4 linked regions of the Callithrix jacchus genome follow. The protein of the gene in region 2 interacts with the protein of the main gene of each other region in a pairwise test. Links are inferred from orthologs where the notes say so. Each region holds a gene or a part of one and is shown on either strand. Other genes may lie near its edges.

Region 1 (7,400 bases), on a different chromosome or scaffold from region 2:
CTGCTATCTTCCTTTGAGCAAATAAAAAAATTTTTAGAGAAGAGGGTGGAATGGAGGCTTACCTAGGAATTTTCTAGGTTTATGCAGTATATTAGTTTGTTAGGCCTGCCATAACTATCACAGCTCATGTAAACAAGAGAAATGTATTTTCTCACAATTCTGGAGCCTGGAAGTCTGAGATTAAGGTGTTGGCAGGGTTGGTTTCTTCCTAGGCCTCTTGCCGTGGTTCGCAGGTGGCTGTCTTCTCCCTGTGTCTTCACTGTGGTCTTCTCTCTTGTGTGTTTGCCCTAATGTCTTCTTATAAGGACACCAACCATACTCCCCAAACGACCTCTTTTTAACTTAGTTACTTATTTAAAGACCCATCTCCAGATGCAGTCACATCGTAAGACACTGACGATTAGGTTTTCAAAATATGAATTTGGGGTGTTAGGGGGGCAATTGAGACCCTTAATGTCTAGGAAGCTTTTGGGTACCAGGGCCTCTGTGGCTCTGAAATGCCTCTGAAAGGCAGCAATCTAGATATTTCAAAAATATGAAGAATCCTAAGTGAGGAGAGAAGGTATTAGGGATGGAAGTCATTATGAAGGCAGCAGGATTCGAGTTTTAAGGATGGAAAGGATGTGGATATGTAGAGGACAAAGAGGCAAGCATTGGAGGGGAGGTATGGGAGCAGTGTGGTCAGGAAGAAAGATCTAGAGTTGGAAGTGAGCATTGTGTGTTTATGGAGCAATAAAGAAATCTTGGTGACAAAAATAACCTACTTATATTCAGATAGTCATGGGGAATCAATGGGCTAGGACAGCTGGATACATTAGTCTAGGTCCTTTCATACCAACTGGAAAGAGTAGATAGAATAGGGTAGGAAATAGGGAGCTATTAATGTTGTTAGGGGGCGAGAAATGAAGTAATAGACTTGAATTCTCAAGATGAGTTTGTAAGAGATTTCAGAGTGGTTTGGAGGAAGGAGTCGGGTAGGCCACAGACAAGGTTGTTCCAACCATCTGGATGTGAAATAATTGGGATCTCAAATTCAAATGCCTGCAGAGCAAGGCAAGGGATACAGATGATGGAGGGGCTTTCTTAGCCTGAAAAGCAGATGTCCATTCCTGCAGCTGGTGGATGGACAGCCCTTATGCCAGTCAGGGCTCTCTGGGGAAGGAGAACCCATGGAATATATGTTTGAGATCTGAAAGGCAGGCTGGAAATTCAGGCAGGATTTCTATACTACAGCCTTGAGGCAGAATTCCTCCTTGTCTGGGAAACCCCAGGTTTTGCTCTTAAGACCTTCAGCTGGTTGGATGAAGCCCATGGGCATTGTGGAACATCATCTCCTTTGCCTAGTCAACTGGTTTTAGATATTAATCAGGTCTACAAAATACCTTCACAGCAACATCTAGACTGATGTTTGACCAAACAGCTAGGCACTACAACCTTGCCAAGTTGACATATAAAATTTAACCATCACAGTCCCCAAGCAGGAAGGTGTGGACCACACTGGGGCCTTGCCTTGTTCCCAGAGACATTACATAGCCCCACTCCCTTCCTCCTGTACCAGCGTAGTGAGAGGCTAGGGATGGCTGCTCTGCCTCAGCCCTGGATCTGATGTGAGCTGACAACTTGTTCCCAGAGCATATGCCCACAGGAGAATTAACTTGAAGGAGAAGAAACTGTTCCCTTTTGAGACCTGGCCCAGGGCACTCTGCTCTGATGGCAACAGCATGCTTTGTCATTTCTTCCCTAGCTGATCCTCACTGGCAGGGGGCCCCAGGATCACTGAAGCTTTTAGAATTGAGCAGACAGTCAGGAGTTCCCTCCTGCATGCCCTTCTGATGATAAGTGAGCTGTACTGTAATAGCTACAGTTATGGTCTTTGGTGTCAGGGTCTGGGTTCAAAACCCAGTCTCATGGGCTATGGTCATGACCTTGGGGACGCCTCTTAGCTTCCTGGTGCCTCAGTTTCCCCATCTGTAAAAGGGATGTAATAACTGTGTATACTTCAGATACTTCAGAAATCTGAGGGATTGCATATGATGATGCATGAATCACTTAGCACAGTGCATGAGACATGAGTACATTTCACTAGTTTTGGCTTTTCTAGACTCAGCTGAGCTGGGTCCGGTGGCTCATGTGTATAATCCCAGCACTTTGGGAGGCTGATGTGGGAGGATTTCTTGAGCTCAGGAGTTTGAGATCAGCCTGGGCAACATAGTGAGACCCCATCTTAAAAAAAAATTAACTGGGCATGGTGACTAATGCCTGTAGTCCCAGCTACCCAAGAGACTGAGGTGGGAGTATTATTTGAGCCCAGGAGATTGAGGCTGCAGTGAGCTGTGATCATGCCACTGCCCTCTAGCCTTGGCGGCAGAGTGAAACTCTGTCTCAAAATAAAACACAACACAACACAACACACACACACACACACACACACACACAAACACACACACAGATAGTTAAGTGCAGTTTCCTGACCCCTTGAAGTCAGATGTGGCCACATGCCTTACTTTAGCAAATGACATGTAAGCAAAAGTGATGTACATCTCTCCTGAGTAGATGATTTAAGAGCCAGTAAGTGATTTGCCACATTCCTTTCCCCTGATGCAGAGACAATGAAAGCACCTGCGCTGAGATTGAGCTGCCAGCCAGGGGCCCAGAGTAAGGAAGAGATGAGAGTCCCTACCCCTCTGCATTGTAGACTGCACTAGAAGAAAACTTCTGTGTTATAAGCTCTGAGATATTGGGGTTCTTAGTACCATTTTAACCTGACTGATGGCCACACTTTAGGTGTTCAGAAAATGGTAGCTGTTACGATTTTTCCCTCTTCCTTCTGCCTTCTCTCTCTGAGGTTCTGAGCAATGATGTGACTGATGGTATTACCCGACTTATCTGTAGCAAATGCTACTTTTGAATCCATCACCTTGCGTATGGAAATACCATCTGTACAGCTGATATTCCACCTCTACCCTTCTCTTGTCCTAGCATTTTGAGAGGGAAGACTTGGGATTAAACACTAGAGTTTGATGGCTCATTTTCCTTTGCAAACCTTACCTTGCTTATCTGTAAAATGGGTGTGAGAACCTTGTTTTTTCTACCTTTTCCAGGACTTACTATATGATTGGTCCGTGTATAGCGAGTATTACGGACACCCCTCAGAAATTAATCTTACTACTTGTCTACTTTTTTTTCCCATTCAGCACATGATGGGTAATTTTTAATTTCCTTCTCCACAGGATCTTGGAAACAAAGACCTCAACAGGGATAAAATTTACTTGATTTGTCAAATAGTTCGGGTCGGAAAGATGGATCTTAAGGATACTGGCACAAAGAAGTGCACACAGGGACTGAGGAGGCCCTTTGGGGTGGCAGGTAAGGGACATACTGCACCATTAATTTTTATTGCAGTATACATTTTATGTGGCTGAATTTTAATGAATATTTCTTTCCCACCCTCCTCCCCCACCCCTTCAAAATTTATGCCAGACAGCCCTTAATAACTATATTTTTGGTGACTAAATCAAAATAATTGGTGACTAAGTCCAGATTTATGATGAAAACAGTGAATCATGAGCTACTCTTGTCTGGAGCAGAGCATGGGGAGACCGATGCCGTCTGAGCAGTTGGTGCCTTTGCTCCCCAGCTCTGTGAAAAAGGAAAAACAATACAGGCAGGATCTAATTATGAGGAGCAAATCATTTAAAAAATATATCTAGGACAGGAAATGGAGTTACACAGAATGAGTCACCTACCACACATCGAAATTCCAGATGGAAACGGACATTTGAAGAGTTGGTGTGACCCGAGGCAGAGCTCATCATGAGGCTGCTACACAGCAATGTCAGCTCTGTATTCTTCTCCAAGCTTTAGCTCTCTTGGGGTTTCTAAGGCTTCATCCTTCTAGTCCTACTTTTATGGTTTTAGTTATATTTGACTACCACTTGCACTATAATTTATCTATATTTTCTTTTAATCAACCTACTTTATATAATGTATGTTTTTCGCCAATGGCAATTTAAATGTGTGAAAAACAGCAATTCGATATGCCAGTTTTATTCTTTTTATTAAAATATAAATTTTTAATAGTATATTATTTCTAACCCCTGTGTACCATAGCTAAGCTCAGTGTTACAGGTTTTTCATTTCCAGATGCTCTGATCTGTAATCACAGACCTGCTGATTCTCCAACTAGTCCCCTGGCACTGCTTGCAAAGTGGGGGAGTGAAGGATGTTTTACCGAGCTCACTGGTTTTTTTAACCTGGCACTGTGGCTAGCTAGCCAGCCAGTTATGTTGGGTAAGCGTTTTCCCCAGGGCCTTAGATTTATTATGTGCAAAATGAAGGACTTGCACCTGGTTAATTCATGAAATCCTCTACTGCTCTGATTCTACTTGTGGGGCATTTCTGACATCACAGTGTTTCCGTTAAGGCAGTGAGAATCCTTTAACCTTACTGCAAAGTGTGTCTTTGTCCTCAGCTGTAGTCTGCCCTATCTTGGGTGTCAGGTGACAAGATCTGATCTAAACTAGTAGAAAAAGAAAAAAAGGTACTTTATTAGTGTAACTGAAAGTCTTATGAATAGATTGCTTCAGGCATAGCTGGATCCAGGAACTCAAATCAATTTGTCTCTTTCTTGCTCCTATGTCCTCATGCTGGCTTACTATGAAGAATTTGTCTCTTCCTTGCTCAGCCCCTATGTCCTCATGCTGGATTGCTAATAAGATGGCTGTCCAGTGAGTTGGCAGATTATCAGCCAGCTGTTCCAAGCTTGCATTCTACCAACTTAGAAACCTAGTGGAAAGAATGTACCTCTTTCCCATTAGTTTCAACAGAAGTCCCAGGAGCTTTAATATAAGTCACCTGCTCATCTCCAGAGCATTTACTTTGGGCAGGGAGAGATGATTCTCTGGTCTGCCATGTCCTATGAACAACTCTGGAGCCGAAGGGAAATTGCCCTGCCCAAATCACAGCACTGAGGATGGATGAGGAGAGTCTGTTAGATGGGTGCTCAGTTTCTCCTCCTGTCTTCTCTGTGACTCCCTCTCTAACTAGATGCAGTCAGGGTTTATTACCGAAGCAATTTTAATGGTCCTCTATCCAGTGCCTGGAGTGTTTGAGGTATTTTCTGTAACTAGGGTATGGGCTCGTTGGAATAGCTTTTCTCAGCCCTCTCCTCCACTCCAATTTCTAGAATCCCCATTCCAGTGTAAGATTTCTTTACCTTGGTTTTGGGGCCTTTAGTGGCTGAATTAAGAAGAGGTTTCAAAGGATCCAGGATCCCACTGGAATCATAGGACTGGAGGATTCTACTGTTATGTGCCTGTACATATGAGTATGCTTATGAAAAAAGGGTGAATATTTCATGAGATTCACAGATCCTACAGAATCCCAATCACTGCTCTCCAGTTTTGTAGGCACTGTAGTCATTCAATACATACGTGTCAAATCCAAATCTGAATTCCACAGCCCCAGCTCTGACTCGTTTCCTTTGGCCTCTGTTAAGCCGTGGTGCTCTTGGATGCCTCCCTGGCCTGCTGACCTCCCAGTCTGCTTTGCCTAGAGGTATTTGCCCCAATGCTGCCTGCCAGGAAACTCTGATGCCTGTGTATTGTGCAGCACAGGATTGCTTGTCATTTTAGGCCCTCCTGACCCCCAGGCAGCCTAGGCCCTACCTCCTGTCCCGCAAGCTCATCCCACTGTCATCCCTTCCAGGGAGCAGGATGAAGTTAAACCATTAATTCATTCTCTCCTCTTTCTAGTTATGGATATAACAGACATCATCAAGGGGAAAGCAGAGAGTGATGAAGAAAAGCAGCACTTCATTCCTTTTCACCCGTAAGACATTTGCCATTTCTTTCCATTCTCTTCAACCACACCCTTTCTCATCAAGGGCTGCTGGAGCTCAGAGTGCACTGGTTCCCTGAGTTAGTGATAGGCAGGTGGAGCCTCCTTAGGGGAGTGCAGGGTGGAAATCATTGGCTCAGTGCCCAGGCACTCAAAACCAAACAGCTCTTCACCTATTCATTCATCAGATGTTATTTATTCCACAGACATTTATTGGCGGCCTGGCAGAGGCCGGCACTCTGCTAGGTGTGAAGGATGAAGTACTGAACAAGATGGACCCTGTCCTCATGGAGCTCATAGTATAGATGGGGAATTAAACAGATAATCAACAGAAGATTAAGCATTAATTACAAGTGCAGCGGAAGCCACGAAGCTGTGAAGCAGCAGAGTTTCAGGAGTGTGTGGCAGGGAATCCTAACCCGGCTTTTGTGGATGGATAGTCATATTCATGACTTAGGAGGAGGGTAATAAGGAAGGTGAATGTCCCCTCCTCTCCTGTTCCAAAAGGAGTCTTCCAGAAAGCAGGGGCCCAGTTTGAGAGCATCATTAGTACTTAATAACCCTATGGATGGGCTAGGTAATGAGGCTAGTGACTTTGCTGAAGATGTGTGATTACGACTTAGCAGGAGCAATTCAAGTCTTCGCTCTTGCTGAGCAGATAAGTATGTTGAAAGTTTTGGAATCCTACCATTTAAAGCAGATTCCTGGAGAAGAAAAAATGACCTCTACCTGTAGCATCGATATTCCCAAATTTCAGAACCACATTGCTTTGTGATTACAAAGTGCTGTGCCTCATGATGGCAAGTATATACCCTGAGCTGACACACGCAAGCTCACTTTTCACCTAAGGCATGTGGAGGGGCTGGGGAGCTCCCTTCAGGGGCTCCTTAAAACACAAGTGAGGGCACCAGGTGCACATTTCATACTCTCTTTTCCTTTCCAGGGTTACAGCTGAGAATGACTTCCTACACAGCCTGCTGGGCAAAGTCATAGCCTCCAAGGGGGACAGCGGAGGGCAAGGTATAGTGCTAACGTGCCGATGGACTAGGCTTGCTCCAGCTTAGGAGCCCCTGACTCTTTAGCAAGTGAATCAAAATCCTGACCCCTGGGATACTTAGCTTTCCTTTCAGACAGACCACTGGGAAGAATGGGAACATATGATCTATAGGGATAGAAGTCACATCTCCTGAAGCAAATTGGAGGCATGTCCTTGTGCCCAAAAGAAGAGAGGAACTGATACACCCTGGATATCTCCTGTGTTCCAGGCACTTTAATAAGTTACCTTGTTTGATTTCATTCTTACCCCAGGCCTGTGAGATAGGTGGTATCCTCACTTTGGGTTTAGAGAAGTTGGGTAAGTTGCCAGAGGCTGACACTGCTAGAAATTAGTAGGATTCAGACCCAGAGATCTCCTGTTCCAGGCCTCGTGGGTTGGGTGGCTGCATCTTTGGTTGTATGACTCTGTTCCCAGTGATCTCCAGAAAGACAGAGGAGAGAAGTGGTGGGAAGGCAGACTGAGAGAACACTAGGAAAAGTGGGCTCTTCACGGTAAGCTGTTCCTT
Region 2 (4,244 bases):
GAGAGTTGTGATTTTTTTGAAAGTGTTTTTGAATCCTTGAACTTGTGTTTGTTGCAAAGCAGCATCAGCATACCATGAAGCACTCTAAAAACTTTTCTCATAAGTGTTGATGTGTAAAGAGAATCACTAAATTCAAACTCAACTCTGCCCAGGGAGTAAGAGACTATTTTAACTCACTTACATATGTTCTCTGGCTTGGTTTGGTTTGGTTTCTCTTCTCAGCTACCCAGGAAGCAGCACTCAAGATTAGGAGAAGAAATAAGTTTATTTTGGATCATAAATTTTTTAACTTTTTCAGATTAATGTGTTTTTTTCCTATAATGTTCTTAAAAATTCTAGAGGCAATTTTCTCTGTGCACCTTTGAAAATGAAATACATGTCATGACTAACGCTAAGCAAAGTGAAATAGATTGTACTTCATAACGGAGGTGAAATTCAAGAGAGAATCCAAAAAAGTCACACATCTCAAGCTCCTATCTGTCAGATTTGGCATCAGAGATTTCAACCAGTGGAATTAGTCATTTGGAACCTGAATAGAATTTTATTTCCCAAGTTCCAGTATGTTTATACATCTCAGAAGCAAAGACTCCTGTGGGTTCCTCCCTCTTTTCTGAAGTATAATCACTGAGGAATTCCCAAGGGACTAAAAGATTATAACTTAGAAAATTTATATTTCACTCTTATTAGGAATACAGGTAAAATTGTATGACTTATCTAAAAATAAGAAGTGTGGAGAAGGCAAGTTTCAGGAAGTCAAAGATCATAATTCCAGCTCTAACCAATATATATTTTAACTTACAGGAAACAAGTTATTCCTATCAGTTGTGTAAAGAGACTTTTCCATTTGTATGCAGGTAGACATGGTTTGTACACACACACACACACTCACACTCTTTAAACCCAGTATATACCTCACTTCTCCAGTCCTGTCAGCACATGCTCTAAGATCACAAAAAGCACTGGAAGATTGCTAACCACACTGACCATTTTTATAGTGGTGGACAAACAAATGAATGTCCTTTTATGAGCCGTAATACTAATTTTAAAGAAGACACAAGCAATCAATGCACAGAATCAAAATCTGTGGGAATATTAATTTCCTGATTTGTAATGAGTTGTATCTATAATTATTGATTGGCCAAATGTTCTCTTTCTTTTCTTATTCTGTCAAAAAGACAATGCTTCCTATGATGATTTTCTGAAATAAGTGTTTTGTCTTGCACATGGAAATGGTGTGGGCCCTGCTTTGGTAACCTAAAGTTATCCCCCTTTTATGAGGCATACAACTCTTCTTCAGTAAATAAACAACTCTAATGAGATGTTTGTATAAAAACCGGCACCATCAATGATGACGAAAACATCCGGTGCAGTCTGTAAACACCCATTTTGAGGGGGCGCTATATAAAACTCTCAGGAGGGAAGGAGTGTTTTGGAGTCAAGGCAACTGGTGTTTTGCAGCCAGTCTCTGTCTTTGCTTCTAGAAGGATGTCTTCTGACTGCTCCTCCACGCTCTGCTCTCCTGAGTCCTGTACCAGGGCTTCCTGTTGTGCACCTGCCTCAAGCTGTTCCATGGAGACAGCTTGTCTCCCCGGTTCCTGTGCTGCATCCCGATGTCAGACCCCTAGCTCCCTTTCCAGGTCTCTCGGGCTGACCGGTTGCCTCCTGCCATGCTACTTTACTGGGAGTTGTAGTAGTCCCTGCTTGGTGGGGAACTGTGCCTGGTGTGAGGATGGAGTGTTCACTAGCAATGAGAAGGAGACGATGCAGTTCCTGAATGACAGACTCGCCAACTATCTGGAGAAGGTGCGCAGCCTGGAGGAGACCAATGCAGAGCTGGAATCCAGGATCCAAGAGCAATGTGAACAGGATATCCCACTGGCATGTCCCGATTATCAGTGTTACTTCAACACCATTGAAGATCTCCAACAAAAGGTGCATGTCCTGTTGCCCTAGTGCTCCAGCTTCTCGATCTATGGTTTGCTTTATCTTTCTACTAGAAGGTGCTGTTTTACAGAAGGAAACCAAGAGAAAGGAGAGTTCTACAAGTTAATGGTACATAGGGAAGAGCACTGTGCTGGAAGTCGGGAAACCTCAGTCCCACCCCTAAAGCTACCCCTGATTACTGAGTAACTATAACAAAGTAACTTGTCTGTGGACTTTTCCTTCGTCATCTATAGAATGCAAAAAGACTGTGTTATATCCAAAATCGCTTTTGTATGTGACACTGAACATTTATATTATCTGAACACAGATCATGAAATGCCATCTTTTTAACCACCTAGTCATTTTCTTCTCTCCCTGATGAATTTCCATTATGGGAGAGGGTATAGTCATAATACAAACTACTGATGGAGAAAAACGTTAATGGCGTTCCACTGCCTAGGAATAGTGCAAAATGTCTTATGTTATGAGAAAAAGTGAACCTTTTTATGTCTCTATTTTGTTTCTGAATTGGCACTGCTTGTTTGCTTCATCAAGTGACACGGTGAATACGGAAAGCAGCTAACGGCCATTTTACACTTTCTTATAAAGACTTTCAAAGGATAACTAATGGCATAGCTGTTGGATAGTAGTTTATTTAGGTTTCTCTCAAAGAATACTTTATTAAATAAGGACTTTCTTCACAGATCTTATGCACGAAGGCAGAGAATTCTAGACTTGCTGTACAGCTTGACAACTGCAAACTGGCCACTGAGGATTTTAAGTCAAAGTGAGTTGAATTTTATTTAATTTATTTATTTTGAGGTGGAGTTTCCCTCGTTGCTCAGGCTGGAGTGCAGTGGCACTATCATGGTTCACTGCAACCTCCGCCTCCTGCGTTTGAGCGAGTCTCCTGCCTCAGTCTCCCAGGTAGCTGCGATTACAGACAGGCATGTGCTGCCATGCCCAGCTAATTTTTGTATTTTTAGTAGAGAAGAGGTTTCACCATGCTGGCCAGAATGGTCTCAAACTCCTGACCTTAGGTGATCTGCCTGCCTTGGCCTCCCAAAGTGCTGGGATTACAGGCATGAGCCACCACACCCAGGCTTAATTTTATTTTGAAAATAATTTATGGCGCTCTCTCTCTCTCTCTCTCTCTCTCTCTCTCACACACACACACACACACACACACACACAAACACACACACACTCTCTCTCTCTCTCACACACACACACAAATATTCTCTATATAATATCTTAAAGTTAAGAATGTCTTAAAAGCTTGAATTTATCATTACTCAGGAATTAAGAGAAATTCTGCATGTGGCTTCCTGAAATTCATATGTCGATCCTCCATGTATCCTCACACTTTGCACAGCATTCAACAGAATAAGTGTTGGATTTCTCTTTTGCTGTGAAAGGTACGACAGTGAACTGTCCCTTCGCCAGCTGTTACAGGCTGACATCAGCGGCCTGCATGGAATCCTGGATGAGCTGACCTTGTGCAAATCCGACCTGGAGGCCCATGTGGAGTCTCTGAAGGAAGATCTTCTTTGCCTTAAGAAAACCCATGAAGAGGTAAGGAAAGTGGCAACTCCGTTGAAGGACTCCAAGAGTGACATAGTTACACTGACAGATGATCTGTTGATGTTTGTGAATAGAACTAGGGCAGATGTTGCTTAAGCTAGACTAAAACTGCTCAAGGCATTATTACTGCTCAGCCTGATCATTCCAGTGTGTCTCTGAATTAAGATGTGAAATACCCCTGGCCAGTGCCAGACGAAGAAATCAAACTCTTCTCCTGCCCCTGCCTTTGTGGAGAAGGTGAATAACTCCACAAATGGCTTTCCTTGGAGGTTTTATGCCACTCCTAATTCCAATCCACCGGCTATAAAAATCAGGCTGAGAAACAGACTGTGAAGGCCATTTCAAAAAGAGAGAAAGACCCGTGCACTATCTGGACCAGTGTTTTTAAATATTCCACATTTATAAACTTTTAAAACTCATAAAATATAAAGCAATTGATATATTAATAAAGCTAGAAAATGAAAAGCTGAATGACGTAACAAATTACTTTGCTCTTTGAACATTTTTTGATGGCAATCATAGCTAACATTCATCGAGAACTTACTATGTGCCAGGACATTTATAAGTTAATTATATGTAGATTAATTCTTCTAGATCTCACAATAACCTTTGGGAGAAATGTCCAATTATTATGCCCATTTTACAGATGAAGCAACTGAGACCCTTGTAAGTGGTGAAAAGAGATTCAGCCTAGGCAATCTGAATAAAAATCTCACACTTTTACCCACTACTCCAAA
Region 3 (7,844 bases), on a different chromosome or scaffold from region 2:
TGTTGAGTTTCTTGAATGATTTTCCTGTTCAGTTGGCAACTACTCATTTGAAAATAATTGGGATTCATTTGCTCATAAATCACTTCCAAAGAGAATTTCAGAAATAGAAGGGTCCTTAGAGACTGTCTAGTCCAACAGTCTATTTCACAAACAAGAGCTCTGAAAAACAGAGATTGAGTGACAAGTCCAAGTTATAGTCTTTGAGGGTTCCACCTTGACTTTCTACATGCTCTCACATAGACCCTCTCCCTGCCATTTTCTTTAGTGTGTGAACTCCCTGCTGGTTCCAAGTCCTTAGGTATCCTCAGTCTAAATAACAAAGTATCTTCCTCCAGACTATGGTGAAATCAAATGGTTTCTATGTATATAACGTGCATATTTCATGTGTTCCCTCAACAGACTTGGTTAAGTACTTGGTGCTAGGTGTTTGTTTAATCTTGCTAAAAATTCCACCAGTATGCCTATTATTACACTCATTACTCTCCAAAGTCAAAGTCATTAAGTAAAATCATGTTCTCCGGTGAAATTTAACCACTTAACTGGGTGGATACGACTTCAGGGGTATGACCTAGATGCTGTTCTCAAATTTGCAGAATGAACATGTTTTCTAAGCAGGTTTCTAAACATTTGAGAGTCACTGCTTAAGAGGCTTACTGTTCCTTTCTTCTGACAGAGGTTGTTCAGGTCGGTCTGCCAACTCACACACCTGGTAGAGGGGAGCCTACCTAACCAGGTGTGTTCCAAGGGTAGGCTCTGCTCCTATGACATCCAGTCCATAGGCTGGCCAGTCACCTAAGTGAGGCTTGGGGTAAAGACATGATTGATCGAGTCAGATTTTTTCTCAGGGGAATATGGCTTAAAATCAGAGAGGAGTAGCAGTTAGTCAAAACCAAACCAAACCAAACAACACATCTGAAAAAAATGCAGAGAGAATCCATAAGGAAATGATGGGTCAGAAGCAGCAACAAAGTGAAAGTAGAGGTTCTGAATTAGAAAAAACCATACAGGCCGGGCGCGGTGGCTCACGCCTGTAATCCCAGCTCTTTGGGAGGCAGAGGCAGGTGAGTCGCTTGAGTTGGGAGTTTGAGACTAGCTTGGCCAACATGGCGAAATCTCGTCTCTACTAAAAATGCAAAAAATTAGCCAGGCGTGGTGGCGGGCGCCTGTAATCCCAGCTATTCGGGAGACTGAGGCAGGATAATCACTTGAACCCCGTGGGGCGGAGGTTGCAGTGAGCTGAGATTACGCCGCTGCACTCCAGCCTGGGCAGCAACAGAAAAAGAATCATAGGCAAATAGGGGAATGGTGAGGCATGTAAAAAAGTGAATGTGTTATATTAAAGATGTAAGAGTTTAGACCCTCAGTGTCCTGCTATCAAGGTCAATAAGCAGGATCTGTCTGGTGAGCCAGGATAAACTGAGGTTTCAGCTCCAAAGCCTGTGAGGTCCTTTTTCCTTTACCGCTAAGCCTTTCCATCGTACCCTAAATAGAACGGATTTGATTCTGGCAACCAAAAGAACTCTTTACGACACCTGGGAAACTTTAGGGAGGTGCTAGCGTGTGCCTTAAGCTTTTTAGCTGTGTGCTACTCACTGGCCATTTCCACGCTCTAGGGAAGTTTTACGTATGCAACATATTGGCCTTAACTTCACCAATGGCTGATTTCCATCTTTTTTTTCTCTTCTGCAGAAACATAACACTAATCATGCTCCGAGAGCACCAACCAAGGTAGACTTTAGGGGGAAAACGTTATAAGACGTGAACGTCTTCCCTGGTAGAAAGAAGAGCAAGCCCTCCGCTCCTCCCCGAGGTCTCAGAGGCCACACCTGCAGGCAGGAGCACGCTTTTCTATGGCGGAACCCGGTCCCTTTCTCGCGGCCGCCGGCGCAGGACGGTGGTTCCAAGGACATTCCGCGGCAGCCCGCGCCCCCGGCCCCCGGCCACCGGCCCCCGGCCCCCGGTCCCCGGCGACCGCCGCGTCACCTGTAATTGTAGGCGCTGAAACGCTTGCTTTCTCTCAGCATAGCCCGGTACAGATCTAACACTTGTGCGCGGCTGGAGGCTGCCATTTTGGAAAGAAAAAAACAAACGGGTCCTCTTCGGAGAGGTCCCAAGTCCAGCCCAACCCACGGAACTTCAGCCTGTGCAGAAACTACGAACGAAATAAAGTGCGGCGGCTCGGCCTTGCCAGCTAGGCGGGCACCCCTGAGGACCGCAGACGGCACCCGGCATCCCGGGCCTCTTCCAAGGCGGGCACAGGCAGGCCTCGGGGCAGCTAAGGGGGCGGTGCCTGGAGGGAGGTGCCTCCGCTCCGCCCAGCCCCCGGCTGGAGGCTCTGGACCCAGCAGCCGCTCCAAGCGGCTGAAAGGCGGGGAAACTAGAGGCCTGGCCGTCGGGGCATCCAGCCAAGCCCCTGGGGGACGAAGATCGGAGGCGCGAGCATCCGAGAGAACTGCAGTTGCACCACGGAGAGCCTTTGCGAACCGTCCGGGGTCTTGGAGGGGACATTTGTGTTTCAAGGCGCAGCGGCCCTTAGTACCTCCAGGAGGCTGCGTTGCCAGGGTTACCGAAGGCCGCCGCGCCGAAGGCCCGCCCTTGACCGCCGATTCCCCGCCCCCACTGGCTGCGGCCGCCCTCAGTGCTGCCTGAGAGGCCTTGCGGGATTTCAAGGGTGACTTGACTTCGCCCGATCCTGCTCGGCTGGATGGGGTTTCATGGCCTTCTCTATGTTGGGAGGCGCGATGTCTGGGTGTGGAGGTGATGAGCCAGGGGTTCTGTGGTACTCCGGCGCTGCTCAGGGCGACCTGCATAGGGGCCTGCGGGACAGGCCCGCTTTCTGTCAAAATGGCGGTGCCCAGCGTACAGGGGTGTCTCTTCAGTTGGGGTTTAAGATTCTTGCCCTGAGAGCGAACTAGCCTGCCACGCTTCCGATTTTGAAACACTTGGGTCTGGGTTTCCCGGGAGAGCGGTGGGTGAGTGCCGGCCTCGTTGCAGCCTGGGGTGCGACGTGGGCAGTTGGTGTGGTAGGGGGTTTACATTGGCCGTGGATTTTTTTCCTCTTTCCTGATGTGGATTTGCTTTTGAGTGAAGTGTCCCCGTGGTTTTGTAAACTAATAAATTTGTAAAATGCAGCCTGGCTGTAGACCTCGGAGAATAATTAGAGACCTTTAGGGGTTTAGGTATTCTCCAAGAAGCAGAGCAAGTTTTCTCCCATGGCTTGACCTAAACTTTTTTGAATTACCTTATTAAAGTGGTGGATAAAGTTGCTTGTTCTAATTTTTGAGCATGGGACTGGAGGCAGGGAAGCCTCAGCCAATTCTAGTACTGTGTTCGCAAAGCAATTTTCTTATTTTTGGAATCTTGCTTTACATAACCTTAGGAAGAACGACACCTTTCTGCATTCAAGCACAGTGAGGAGTACCTTTATACGTAAAAACAAAAGGGCTGGACGCAGTGGCTCCCGCCTGTAATCCCAGCACTTTGGGAGGCCGAGGCGGGCGGATCATGAGGTTAAGAGTTCAAGACCAGACTGGCCAACATGGTGAAACCCCGTCGTTGTGACATGGTAAAAGCCCCATAAAGCTGCATACCTCAACCATACCTAGGCTTTGTGTTGAAACTGCTCTCTGTAACCCTGATGTGACAGGCAAGCAGTCCAAACCCACGCCATCTTGGCCCCTGCGACTTGTAATAAGTAACTAAGGTCTGTAATTTCCACCCATATCCAGACAACGTGTAAACTAACACTTATCTTGACTTCTGTAAACCGCTTAAGCCACAATCGGAATATCCAAAGCCCTCTGGCCCTGGGAATGTCCGGAGCCCCTCACTCTCATCTCCGCCCCAGAGGTAATTTACGGAATCCACTGGCCCTTGGAATGTCTAAAGCCCCTCACCCTCACCCCCAAGGTGGTTTACAGGCGTAAAAGTTCTTGACACCCTCCTTTCAGGGCCACGGGTTGGAGAGACGAGAGTCCTCCGTGACCGCCGGCAATTAAGACCCTGCAATTTGGCATACTTTTGTCTTGGTGTTAACTTTCTATGCTCGGGCCAGTACAACACGCTACTGAAAAATACAAAAATTGGCTCGGCCTGGTGACTCGTGCCTGTAATCCTAGCTACTTGGGAGGCTAATGGAGGAGAATCAGGGACCTGGGAGGTGGAGGTTGCAGTAAGCCAGTTACAATTGTTTCAACCTATTAAGGAATTTAATCATTAATGTATATAATTAATGTATCTAAATGACTCAACTTTGTGGTAATCAAATAAAACTTCCAAGTAAATATGTATAGTTTAGATAGTTTGGGTAGCCTTGTCCTCTGTTAGTACAAGCAATGGTTGCAGTTAGGAAAGCGATAGCTTCCCAGTTAATTCTGAGCCAAGTCTTCACAAAAATACCTCATTATTTTATTTAAAATGGTTTACCAGTTTGATGGACATCATTGCCTTGAGAGGCTAATAGAAAATATTAATTCAAAAGCTACATCTCACTTTTGCATATCTTTATTGTGGAGATGCCTTTTTTTGTTTTTAAAAAAGAAGAAAGTAACTCTATTTGAGACTGTAAGTAGAATGGGCCAGAAGCTGAAGAATGGACCATACCCATATGTTCCTTAACATGCATTCTGTTCTGGGTTGAAATTTTTCTTAGGGAATATCTACAATAGGAGGTACCATTTAGGAATCAAAACATAAAAATTTCTTTAGTATTCGTTTTTCGTTTATCCAAAGTTATCAAGTAACTATAGTTCTTTATGTAAAATCTTGTATTATCTTCTATTAAAATTAGGGTTGTCCATGACCACCTAGTGCTGTGTGAAGAGAAATTTCTCAAATCATAATAAACAGCATAACAACAATTTACTGTCCTGAAGCTTAAATATCAAAGTGATGTATGGAGTAAAATTTGTATAGAAATAGTAACTTATGATATTATTTAGAAATTATTCAGGTGGGCATGGTGCTGTACACCTGTAATCCTAGCACTTTGGGAGGCCGAGGCAGGTAGATTACTTGAGCCCAGGAGTTTGAGACCAGCTTGGACAACATGGCAAAACCCCATCTATACAAAAAAATACATCATAGCAAACCTCATCTCTACACAAAAAGTACAAAAATTAGCTGGGAGTGGTGGCAGGTGCCTGTAGTCCCAGCTACTCAGGAGACAGCGTGTAGTCCCAGATACTCAGGAGACTGAGGTGGGAGGATTGCTTGAGTCCTGGAGGTCGAGGCTGTGTTGAGCCATAATCACGGTACTGCACTATAGCCTGAGCAGCAGAGTGAGACCCTCTCCAAAAAAAAAAAAACCAAAAGAAAAAAAATTATTCTATCCTACACCAGACATGAATCTAAGTATTATACATTGATCCTTCATTTTAATAGAATATGAAGGGGGAAGACCTTATATATCAACTCATTCATTTGTATAGATGAACAAACTCAAGCCTTCCTCATTCCTTCCTTCCTTCAGCATTTATTGAAGACTTCGTAAGTACCATAATTTATTATTTTTTTTTGTTTTTTGTTTTTTTTTTGAGACGGAGTTTCACTCTTGTTGCCCAGGCTGGAGTGCAATGGCGCAATCTCAGCTCACTGCAATCTCTACCTCCCGGGTTCAAGCGATTCTTCTTCCTCAGCCTCCCAAGTGGCTGGGATCACGGGTATACACAACCATGCCTGGCTAATTTTTTGTATTTTTAGTAGAGATGGAGTTTCACCATGTTAGCCAGGCTGGACTCGAACTCCTGACCTCAGGGGATCCACCTGCTTTGGCCTCCTAAAGTGTGGGGATTATAGGTGTGAGCCACGGTGCCTGGCCAATAAGTACCATAACATATGAGGACAAAACTATAAGATGACATAGTTACAGTGATGAGAGCCTCCCCACCCCTAAGAAACCTGTAGGTGATTAGATAAACCAAACAATAATTTATAGAGACAGGTTCTCGCTCTGCTTCCTAAGCTGGAGTGCAGGGGTATGATCATAGCTCATTTAAACTTCAAACTCCTGAAGTGATTTTCCTGCCTCAGCCTCCCAAGTAGCTAGGTCTATAGGCTCATGCTACCATGTCTGGCAAATTAGAAAACTTTTTTTTTTTTTTTTGGTAGAGATAAGATTTCACTATGATGTCCAGTATGGTCTCAAACCCCTCAGTGCATTTCCTGCCTTGGCCTCCCAAAGAGTTCAGCTTATAACTATAAAGTGTGAGCCGTGGCACTTGGCCAATAATTTCTTTTTGACAGTTGCTGTGATAAGAGCAATAATTTAGCAAATACTAAAGGAATACAGAAGAGGAATATTGAACTAGGACTTTCACCTAAGGGAAGGCTTTCCATCATAGGTGTTTCTAGAATGAATAGTAAGAGCCAGATGAGGAATGTGGTTAAAGATTGTATTGTATATTCCAAGCATGGAGGCAGAAGGGTGCTTGATCTATTTAGAGAACTCTAAGTGTTTTAGGATGGTAGGAGGTGGGAAGGGAGGGACCGCAGAAGTGGTTAGCCCTGCACTAACTTTATTTTAGTGATGTTTTTCCTATTTCTGGAATAAATCATTTCTTCCATTATGCATTGGCTGAGTCATATAAGTATAGCTTAACAGCTGAGCTGTTGAAATGGAAACTATTTATTCAGGTATGGATAGCCTTTTGTTTCAGATCATGAATTTGAATCCTATATTTGAGAGGCAGTGAAATTTTATTTGTGCATTCAAAAGATAGCCGGCAGCCTGGTAGTTCAAGTTTCTGTTCTCGCAATGATAACTTGAGGATGATGTAGAAATCAAACATGGATCCCGTTTTCCAGAAGTTTATACTTTAAATACATTTGTATATAATTAAAATAAGGAGTAGGAGATATTAGGTTGGTGCAAGAGTAATTGGGGATTTGACCATTAAAAGTAATGATCAAAACTGCAGTTCCTTTTGCACCAACCTATACAAAGTGCTTCAAGGAAAGGGCTGGTGAAGCGTCACTGGGTCTCAGTGTAAGAAGTCACTTCCATCCCTTATGCTTGGGCCACACCTCAGACCAACAGCAGGGCTGAGGCCCAGGCTTCAGAGATTTTTGTTTAATTGTTTTTTAAGTTTCCTCCATGATTGGGTATAGCCAGGGCTGAGAAACACTGATATGAAGGAATCAGGAGGCTTCATGGAGGAGGTAATGTTTGTATTGGGCTTGAGAAGATTTAAGTTTCTTCTGGGCCTTGAAAGGAATTGAAGGATTTGAATGGGTGTGTGGTGGTAAGATGGCTACTGTAGGTGGAAGACGATTTACGCTTTGCCTTGAAAGGGTGAAGAGAAACCCTGATTGAGGTCTAAGAGAAAAACACTCATGACCTGGGAGGGGCTTTGGCCAGATCTGTAGAGTGCATGAGGGTGAGAACAGGGAGATCCCATGGAAATGTGATACATGGACTTTCATATGTGTTAGGCACGAGATGAGCTGAGTCCCAAATGATTTGAGTTAATCTTTCCATGACTCAATAAAAGAGCTGTTATCTCCATTTAAGAAAAGTGAAGCTGGCCCGGTGTGGTGGCTAACATCTGTAATCCCAGCACTTTGGGAGGCTGAGGAGGGAGGATCACTTGAGCTCGGGAATTTGAGACCAGCCTGGGTAACACAGCAAGATGCCATCTCAATATAATAATAATAATAAAGAAACGACAACAAAAAAATGAAGCTGAGAGTTTCTTTAGCCAGGATCAGACAGCTAGAAAGTAGCTAGGGTAGGCGTTGGCCTGAGATGAGAGCTGTCTAGCTACAATGCAGCACTGCTTCACAGAGAAAGTACCACCTTCAGGAATTTGAAGCTTATTGATTTTTCTTGGATAACATGGGTAAAT
Region 4 (7,885 bases), about 23 Mb from region 2:
AGTTCAAGACCGGCCTGGCCAACATGGTGAAACCCCATCTCTACTAAAAATACAAAAATTAGCTGGGCATGGTGATGCATGCCTGTAATCCCAGCTACTCATCAGGAGGCTGAGGCAGAAGAATTGCTTGAACTGGGACCTGGGAGGTAGAGGCTGCAGTGAGCTGAGATCATGCCACTGCACTCTAGACTGGGCTTCAGAGCGAGACTCCATCTAAAAAAAAAAAAAAATACAAAAAGTAGCCAGGCATGGTGGCACCTGCCTGTAGTACTAGCTACTCAGGAGGCTGAAGTGAGAAGATCACCTGAGCCTGGGAGGTTGAGGCTCCAGTGAGCCATGATCACACCGCTGCACTCTAGGAAACAGAGTGAGGCCCTGTGTCAACAACAAAAACAACAACAAAATAACCCAATTTTAAAATAGTCAATTATGAGAGACTGACGTGGGAAGATCGCTTGAGACCAGGAGTTGGAGACCAGCCTGGGCAACATAACAAGACCCTGTCTGTACAAAAAATTTTTAAAGTTAGCTGGGCATGGTGGAACACACCTGTAGTTCCCAGGTACTTTGGAGGCTAAGGTGTGAAGATTGCTTGGACCCATGAGTTTGAGGCTGCAGTGAGCTGTGATGGTCCCACTTGCACTATAGCCTGGGTGACAGAGCAAGACCCCATCTCTTTAAAAAAAAAAGAAAATGGTTAAGGGTTCTGAATAGACATTTTTTCAAAGAAAATATGCAAATAGCCATTAAACACGTAAAAGGATACTCAACATAATTCATCAGAGAAATGCAAATCAAAACCACAATGAGATATCACTTCAAACCCTTTAGGATAGCTATAATGAAAAAGATAATAACAAGTGTTGTTGAGGTGTAGAGAAACTGGACCCCTCATGCACTGCTGGTGGAAATGTGAAATGGCACAGCCATCCTGGAAAATAGTCTGGCAGTTCTTCCAAAAGTTAACGAGAGTTGCCAATTGACCAAGTAATTCTACTCTTAGGTATATACCCAAGAGAAATGAGAACATACGTCCACACAAAAACTTGTACTTGAATGTTCATAGTAGCATTATTCATACTAGCCAAAAGGTGGAAATCACCCTGCAGCCACCAGCAGATGAATGGATAAGTAAAATGTGGCAGGTCTACATATACAATGGAATACTGTTTGGCAATAAAGAAGAATGGAGTATTGATACATAATACAAGGTAGATAAAACTTAAAAATGTTTGATGTGGTGGCTCACTCCTGTAATCCCAACACTCTGGGAGGCTGAGGCAGGAGGATCACTTGAGGCTGGGAGTTTGAGAGCAGCCTGAGCAGACCCTATCTCTACAAAACACTAAAAAACTAGCTTGGCATGGTGGTGTGCACCTGTAGCCCTAACTACTTGGGACGCTGAAGCAGGAGGATCACTTGAGCCCAGGAGTTTGAAATTACAGTGAGCTGTGATTGTGGCACTATACTCCAGCCTGGGCAACAGAGTGAGACCCAATCTCTTAAAAGAAAAAGAAAAAAAAAAAAACCCAAACTTTAAAACATTATGCTAAGTGAAAAAGTCAGGGCCAGGTGCGGTAGCTAATGCCTGTTATCCCAGTACTTTGGGAGGCTGAGGTGGGTGGATCACCTGAGGTCAGGAGTTTAAGACCATCCTGACCAACATGGAGAAACCCATCTCTACTAAAAATACAAAATTAGCTAGGTGTGGTGGCACATGCCTGTAATCCCAGCTACTCAGGAGGTTAAGGCAAGAGAATCGCTTCAACTCAGGAGGCAGAGGTTGTGGTGAGCTGAGATCGTGCTATTGCACTCCAGCCTGGGCAACAAGATGAAACTCCATGTTTAAAAAAAAAAAAAAGGGTCAAAAAAGACCACATTCTATTTATATGAAATGTTCCAAACAGGGAAATCTATAAAAGAACAAAGTAAAATAGTAGTTGCCAAGAGATGGAAGGGGTAAGGGTGGATGATAGCTAAAAAGAGTATAGGTTTCTTCTGTGGGTGATAAAAATGTTCTAAAATGGATTGTGGCAATGGTTGTACAATTCTGTAAATATACTAAAAACGATTATATTTACACTTTAAGTAAAGAAATTGTAAAGCAAGTAAATATCTCAATAAAGCTGTTAAAAATCCTTCAGGCGAAATGTTACACATTTAGCAAACCTTTTCTGTAAAGAATCAGACAGTAAATATTCTAAGCTTTGCAGGTCATACAATATCTGTTCCAACTATTCAACTCTCCACTGTAGTGAAAGCAGCCATAGATGATATGTAAACGAATGTATGTGGCTGTGTTCCAATAAAACTTCGTTTACAAAAACAGGTGGCAGGCTGGACCCTGATCTACAGACCACACAATCTTCCTCAATCCACACCACTATCCTATGAGGACGACAAGGCAGTTAGCTAATGCCTCGGAGGTGAGAGAGAACCTAACGTCTTCTCTAGATGACAACTAGTAAATAGCAGAGACAAGACTTCTAGCCTTGACTTCATTAGGCAGTTGCATTCACTCAGATATGCTGATTAGATAGGTTTCTCCAGAACACCTCCCAGTCTGGGAAGTCAATAGACCTCTGACAAGCTGGTGCAGAACTGAACTGCCACAACCACTCACATAGGTCTTCTTGTTGTAGTATCTCCTTCTCCAACACCTCAGTGACCCTTTCCTAAACTCTTCTTCTCCTTCTGATGATCTTCAATGGCATGGCCATTCCTAAGCAGCCAAGTTCAATCAGCTTGCTAACTGAAGTGTTTATTGAGAAGAACCTACTTGGGTTTAATCTTCTACTACAAACACACATAAATATCTCACAACTGGTAAGGTCTTTGTAGAGCACACACGGACCTGATTTATGCACCTTCCTCTTCATTCATTCATTCACTCCTATTTTCTTTCACATTTGACTACCTATCATGTGCCAGGTACTTCCAAGAGCCTAAACTAGTAAGTTTGCAGTGGAAAGGAAAACAAAACAGTAGGATCAAGTGCCATCATTATATAAAGACAGCATCCACGAATCTAAATTAACCCTTTGTGGTCAAACGTGGTAACCCACCCACGCCTGTAATCCCAGCACTTTGGGAGGCCAAGGTGGGAGGATCACCTGGGTCAGGAGTTTATGACCAGTCTGGCCAACATGGTGAAACCCCGTCTCTACTAAAAATACAAAATTAGCTGGGCGTGGTAGCGGATGTCTGTAATCCCAACTACTCCAGAGGCTGAGGCAGGAGAATTGCTTGAACTGGGGAGGCAGAGGTTGCAGTGGGCTGAGATTGCACCACTGCACTCCAGCAGGGGAGACAAGAGCAAAATTTCATCTCAAAATAAATAAATATATACATAAAGTAATTAATTAACCCTTTGCTTTTTCCAACTTGGTGAACTCCTGAATGTGTCCCCTTTGCTATGGACTCCCTGGGATGTCCTTTCTTCTTCTTTATTGGCCCTTCCCCCAAGTCCTACAGGAGAAACTTCAGCACCCTTCTGCATCCAGCCACCTTCCCCATTTCTATAAAGTTATAGAATCTGACAGCCAGAAAGACCCTCAAAGGCAACATCGTACTTCAACTCACAGAGAAAAATGAGGAAGTAGTTACATGCCCAAGATCACACAGACCTCAGAGGTTCAGCCAGCATCAGATCCTAGATTTCCACTTCTGCCACAAGGCCAAAACTGCTTGTGAAATTCTGGATTTTCTAAAGCAGGCAGTGTTAGGGAAAAGTCCCTCACACCTTGCTGTCACCCCTGGACATGTTCTAGATACCCAACAGTCTTCCACCTCCTTGCTGAACTCCTACTCATCTATCACTGTTCAGTTTAAATGGCCTTTCACCCAAGACTTGTTCTAGACTCTGAACATCCCTAAGATGGGAGTAGGTGATTCTCCGTGTCCTCACAGCTTCTTTGTATGTCCCTTATCAGGATATTATAAACCATAGTTTAATCAGGATATTATAACCTTTTTCACTGAACAGTCAACATCATTCAGGTGGGCCTTTTCTTCTTTAATTGAGCTTCTCTACCAATACATACAGGTGGGTCTTAAAGACTACTGCGCCTCCTGCCCCCAGCACAATAAAAGTAATTGAATGGTGGCGGGAGGGTGTTACTGCTCTTCCTTCACTGAAATGAGTCATTTGCCCTCTCACCCTAACACCACTCACTATCAGCAACAAAAGAGCCACAACTTCTAAGCTTCATCAGAGTTGGAGGTGGAGGTGATTCCAAAATCAGAGATGGAGGTGTCAATTTCTATTTAGGAGAGAGAGAAGGCTGCAGATGGCAGGGGTTGCACAGGATGGAAAGTCAGGAAACCTGCAGCTAAAGTGCCCGGGATGGAGGACTGATTGAACTTGGCCCTTCTGTGCAGGTCTTATGTTGGGCAGTGGAGACATAGAAAGCAGTCAGACTCCAGAAACCCGAGTCTGCTCTGTAACCTAGGCGAAGTTCTGATTCAGGGCCCAAACCTCCCCTTTGGAAAACAAAGATGACACTTGCTTTCCTCATTAAAGAGAGGGCAGCCATAAGCTTTGAGAAAAGCTGCCCAGGCCAAATATCAATTAATGTCTCGTGCAGGACGCGCTGTTCCCCCTCGGGTCGTCTGCCTTTGTTTGGGCTTCTCTTTCTCGTCTGTAAAAGGACCCGACTGGCCTGCATAACCTCATGAGCCTGAACCCTGCCTCAGTCACACCGCCCTGCACAGCAGAAGTCCGAATTCCACCTTACCCCCAGCTCGGCCCTTCATGGCCTCACCTGTCGGCGGGGCGTAAGCCCGGGCTGGAGACAGGATGGTTAGCCCCGGACTCTTAGAAGCGCTGGGGCCACCCGCAGGCCGATTCAGGAGGCGGCGTCCCCCGTCCCGCAGCCGGTGACAGCTCCTCCACATCGCGCCCGATAGTCTGGGAGGATGCGCAGCGTGAAACCTAGAGCAGGAAACGGAGCGAAGGGACCTCCAAAGCCGCACGATCGGGCTGTACGGAAACCTCTCACCGCCCCCTCAGAGCCCGCAGCCTCCCCTGGATGCCGCCATCTTCCACATGACACCAACGGCGTGCCGTCGCCGCCGCACGCCTCCTGCGCACACCCCCAGTCAATTAGCATCACAAACGCGCCTCGCTCCGCCCCCTCCACGCCGCGCCTCAGCGAGAAGACCACAAGTCCCAGCGGGCCGCTCGCGCACCCCACCACGTGCTTTCTCCTCCCGCCAATGGGTGGAAGCGCCGTGTAAACCTGTTCCCGCCCTCACCGGCTCGCCCGAGCCAATCGGAAGGGGCGGGGTGTGTGTTTGTGCGTGCGCGCGCGTGCGTGTGTGTGTGTGTCTGTGTGTGTGTGTGTGTGTCTGTGTGTGTGTATGTGTGCGCGAGGGCAAGTCGGGAGGGGGACCCAGCTCAGGACTGGGAGGCCCTGCTCTCAGGTCCCTGGGTCGCGGTGGCGGCCGAAGCGCTTAGTTTGCATACAGCGGACGGGTGGTCGCCCCTCCCGCCCCCACCCTGCGCGTGCGCGCCTCGGCCTCTCCCTCCCAGCCACCCTCCTTGGCTCCCGCGCGGCGGCGGCGGTTCCTCTCCCACTCCCCCCAGCCCTGGCTCCGGGGGACCCCGCGATGCCGGTCCGCACCGAGTGTCCCCCGCCAGCCGGTGCCTCGGCTGCCTCCGCGGCCTCACTCATCCCGCCGCCGCCCATCAACACCCAGCAGCCCGGCGTGGCCACCAGCCTGCTCTACAGCGGCTCCAAGTTCCGCGGCCACCAGAAGAGCAAGGGGAACTCGTACGACGTAGAGGTGGTGCTGCAGGTGAGCGCCGGGCCGGGCCGGGGCCCGAGGGCCTCCTCGCGGCGCTCACGGGCCGTGCCCGTCTCGGCTCCTCGAGCCGGCAGCCGCGGAGCAGGCCCTCGTCGCCGGGGCCTCCTGCACCCGGCGCTTCCCACCCGGGACCTGCCCAGCCTGTGCCTCACACTCTCCGAGCCCCAGCCCTGACCTGCCCCCTCAGATCCAGAGCCCGTCAAGACCCGCTTCTGGCGGACCCCGAACACTCTCCCAGACTTGAAGCCGGTGACCGGCCGGTCCGGGATCCGGAAGCCCCCATGACTCGGGGAAGGCCCGGGTCCTCCCTCCTCATGACCTGCCGTCCCTACATCAGGGACTGCCACGAGCCCTTTTCAGACCCTGAAGAACTCTCCATTGGTTTCACCAGACTCTGGACACTCCCCGTGTCTGGGCCCATGTCAGATTCAGAACTGAGTCCTGCCCTCCCGCCTCTTCCTCAGTCCCAGGAATCCGCAGACCCTGGGGGCTTCCTCTTCCTGAGATCTCCTTAGGAGGGCTTCATCAGACCCCTCAGACGGGGGAACACCAAACGCACCACTGATTGGTCAGGCCCTGGCCCCACCTCAAGACCAGACACTCACTCCCTGAGTGCTGCTCACAGTCTGCTGGGATCTTGCCTCCTGGGTCCCCTGTTCCACTCGCTGCTTCCCTCTCTTCATGCTCCAGGCACCCAGCCCCTTCCAGCTGCTCCACCTCCCAGCCTCCTGCCCCTGCTCTGGGACCACTTGCAGTCTTCTAATCTTCCTGGCATCTGTCCAGATTCCCCACCCCATATCTTCGTCTTGCTCGATCCTGGTTCCAGGGGACCCTGTTTGCTGTTCTTAACTTTTCTCTACACAGGCACAGGGCTTCCTCCCAGTGTCTGAGACCCATGTACTGGGAAATCTAACTCACCCAGTTTTAGTTCATGTCCAGCAGCCTCCCTGCATTTGACCTGGATTCCTGAATACCTGCTGCCAGTTCCTGATCAGCCTTGGAAGTACAGCTTCACCTGTGTGGGCCTTTCCCACACCTCACTCCTCTCAGGCCTGACACTTTTTGCCAGCTGAAATACTGCCCCCCGGGTGTGAGGGTGAAATGTACAGTGTATCTGTTCCTCAAGCTTGCCTTTTGACGGGTTAAAACTCTAAATCTTAGTTTTACTTCTGAAGAGTAGGTATCCCATTCAAAAGACAATGAGGGTGCCTTTTCTTTCTGCTATCTGCAGAGCAGGCATCACTCTTTCATTCTCATACTGCTGTGTGGGAGTAAATAGTTTTCTCTGCTTACTTGAAACAGCATCATCATGTTAATTTTATCTTTGGTCTGTAAAGTTCTAACATGAACCACAATCTTTATTATAATGGAAAAACTATTGTGGTTGAAATATTTTTGTCTTCATAACTATATGCCTAATGTGGTGATCCTCTTCTTGTTTTCTTAAAATGTGAACATCATTTCGGTTTGTTTTGCACCTAATCAGAATTCTGGAGGTGAGAACCCAGGGTGGGTCATGTTTGGGATGGTGTTGGATTTGTCCCCATTGTTGAGTTTGATGGTTTCTCATGTAGTAGGGGATAATTGGCAGGGTAGCCAGGTGTCAAAGGGGAGTCTGCTTTGACAACTGCAGCAACTACTGCTCCCTTCTGTCATTTGGGTGTCACTTCTGAGCTCCTGTCAGAAGGAGAATCGTGAACCAGTGGAAGCGGTGATTGAGTTGGGACAGGGCTGATAGGTCTCAGGCAGCTCAGAGCAGAAACCTGGCAGATGGCTGGGAGCCACTTGAGTAGGAAGTCTGCTGGTGGGGATGGTGGTCATGCCAAGGAATGCTGCCCTACATCTGGATTGGGGAGCTGCTTGGTCATCATCACGACTACTTAGTGGTATGTGAATTGCCCCATCAGCTGGTTTTTCAGTCAGGACTAGTTTCTCAGATACAGCCTTCTTAGACACAAAATACTTCTGCCTTTTACAACTCTCCTTCCTTCCTTCCTCCCTCCCTCCTTCCCTTCCACCCTCCCTTTTTCTTTATTTAGATACAATTCACTTATTTAAGGTGTACAGTTCAGTAGTT

The links.
Region 1: the proteins of KRT40 (region 2) and DOCK2 interact in binary tests that used the Homo sapiens proteins (3 or more experiments, as listed by UniProt). The two-hybrid records come from large-scale screens. The link is inferred for Callithrix jacchus from reciprocal best matches to the Homo sapiens genes KRT40 and DOCK2.
Region 3: the proteins of KRT40 (region 2) and FARS2 interact in binary tests that used the Homo sapiens proteins (3 or more experiments, as listed by UniProt). The two-hybrid records come from large-scale screens. The link is inferred for Callithrix jacchus from reciprocal best matches to the Homo sapiens genes KRT40 and FARS2.
Region 4: the proteins of KRT40 (region 2) and ATPAF2 interact in binary tests that used the Homo sapiens proteins (3 or more experiments, as listed by UniProt). The two-hybrid records come from large-scale screens. The link is inferred for Callithrix jacchus from reciprocal best matches to the Homo sapiens genes KRT40 and ATPAF2.

The regions. Positions count from the first base shown.
Region 1 is NC_133503.1:61,930,964-61,938,363, forward strand, and holds part of DOCK2 (dedicator of cytokinesis protein 2), read left to right. Parts: intron 1-3,230; coding exon 3,231-3,366; intron 3,367-5,753; coding exon 5,754-5,829; intron 5,830-6,781; coding exon 6,782-6,858; intron 6,859-7,400. UniProt on the Homo sapiens protein: Involved in cytoskeletal rearrangements required for lymphocyte migration in response of chemokines. Activates RAC1 and RAC2, but not CDC42, by functioning as a guanine nucleotide exchange factor (GEF), which exchanges bound GDP for free GTP.
Region 2 is NC_133506.1:92,275,932-92,280,175, forward strand, and holds the start of KRT40 (keratin, type I cytoskeletal 40), read left to right. Parts: upstream 1-1,444; 5' UTR 1,445-1,485; coding exon 1,486-1,932; exon of another isoform or gene 1,933-2,627; coding exon 2,628-2,710; exon of another isoform or gene 2,711-3,341; coding exon 3,342-3,498; intron 3,499-4,244. UniProt on the Homo sapiens protein: May play a role in late hair differentiation.
Region 3 is NC_133505.1:25,185,110-25,192,953, reverse strand, and holds the start of FARS2 (phenylalanine--tRNA ligase, mitochondrial), read left to right. Parts: upstream 1-2,831; 5' UTR 2,832-2,972; intron 2,973-3,379; 5' UTR 3,380-3,565; intron 3,566-7,844. Other genes in the region: LYRM4 (LYR motif-containing protein 4), read right to left, coding at 1,984-2,069. UniProt on the Homo sapiens protein: Is responsible for the charging of tRNA(Phe) with phenylalanine in mitochondrial translation.
Region 4 is NC_133506.1:69,115,391-69,123,275, reverse strand, and holds the start of ATPAF2 (ATP synthase mitochondrial F1 complex assembly factor 2), read right to left. Parts: upstream 5,053-7,885; 5' UTR 4,897-5,052; coding exon 4,764-4,896; intron 1-4,763. Other genes in the region: GID4 (glucose-induced degradation protein 4 homolog), read left to right, coding at 5,362-5,799. UniProt on the Homo sapiens protein: Plays a role in the assembly of the F1 component of the mitochondrial ATP synthase (ATPase).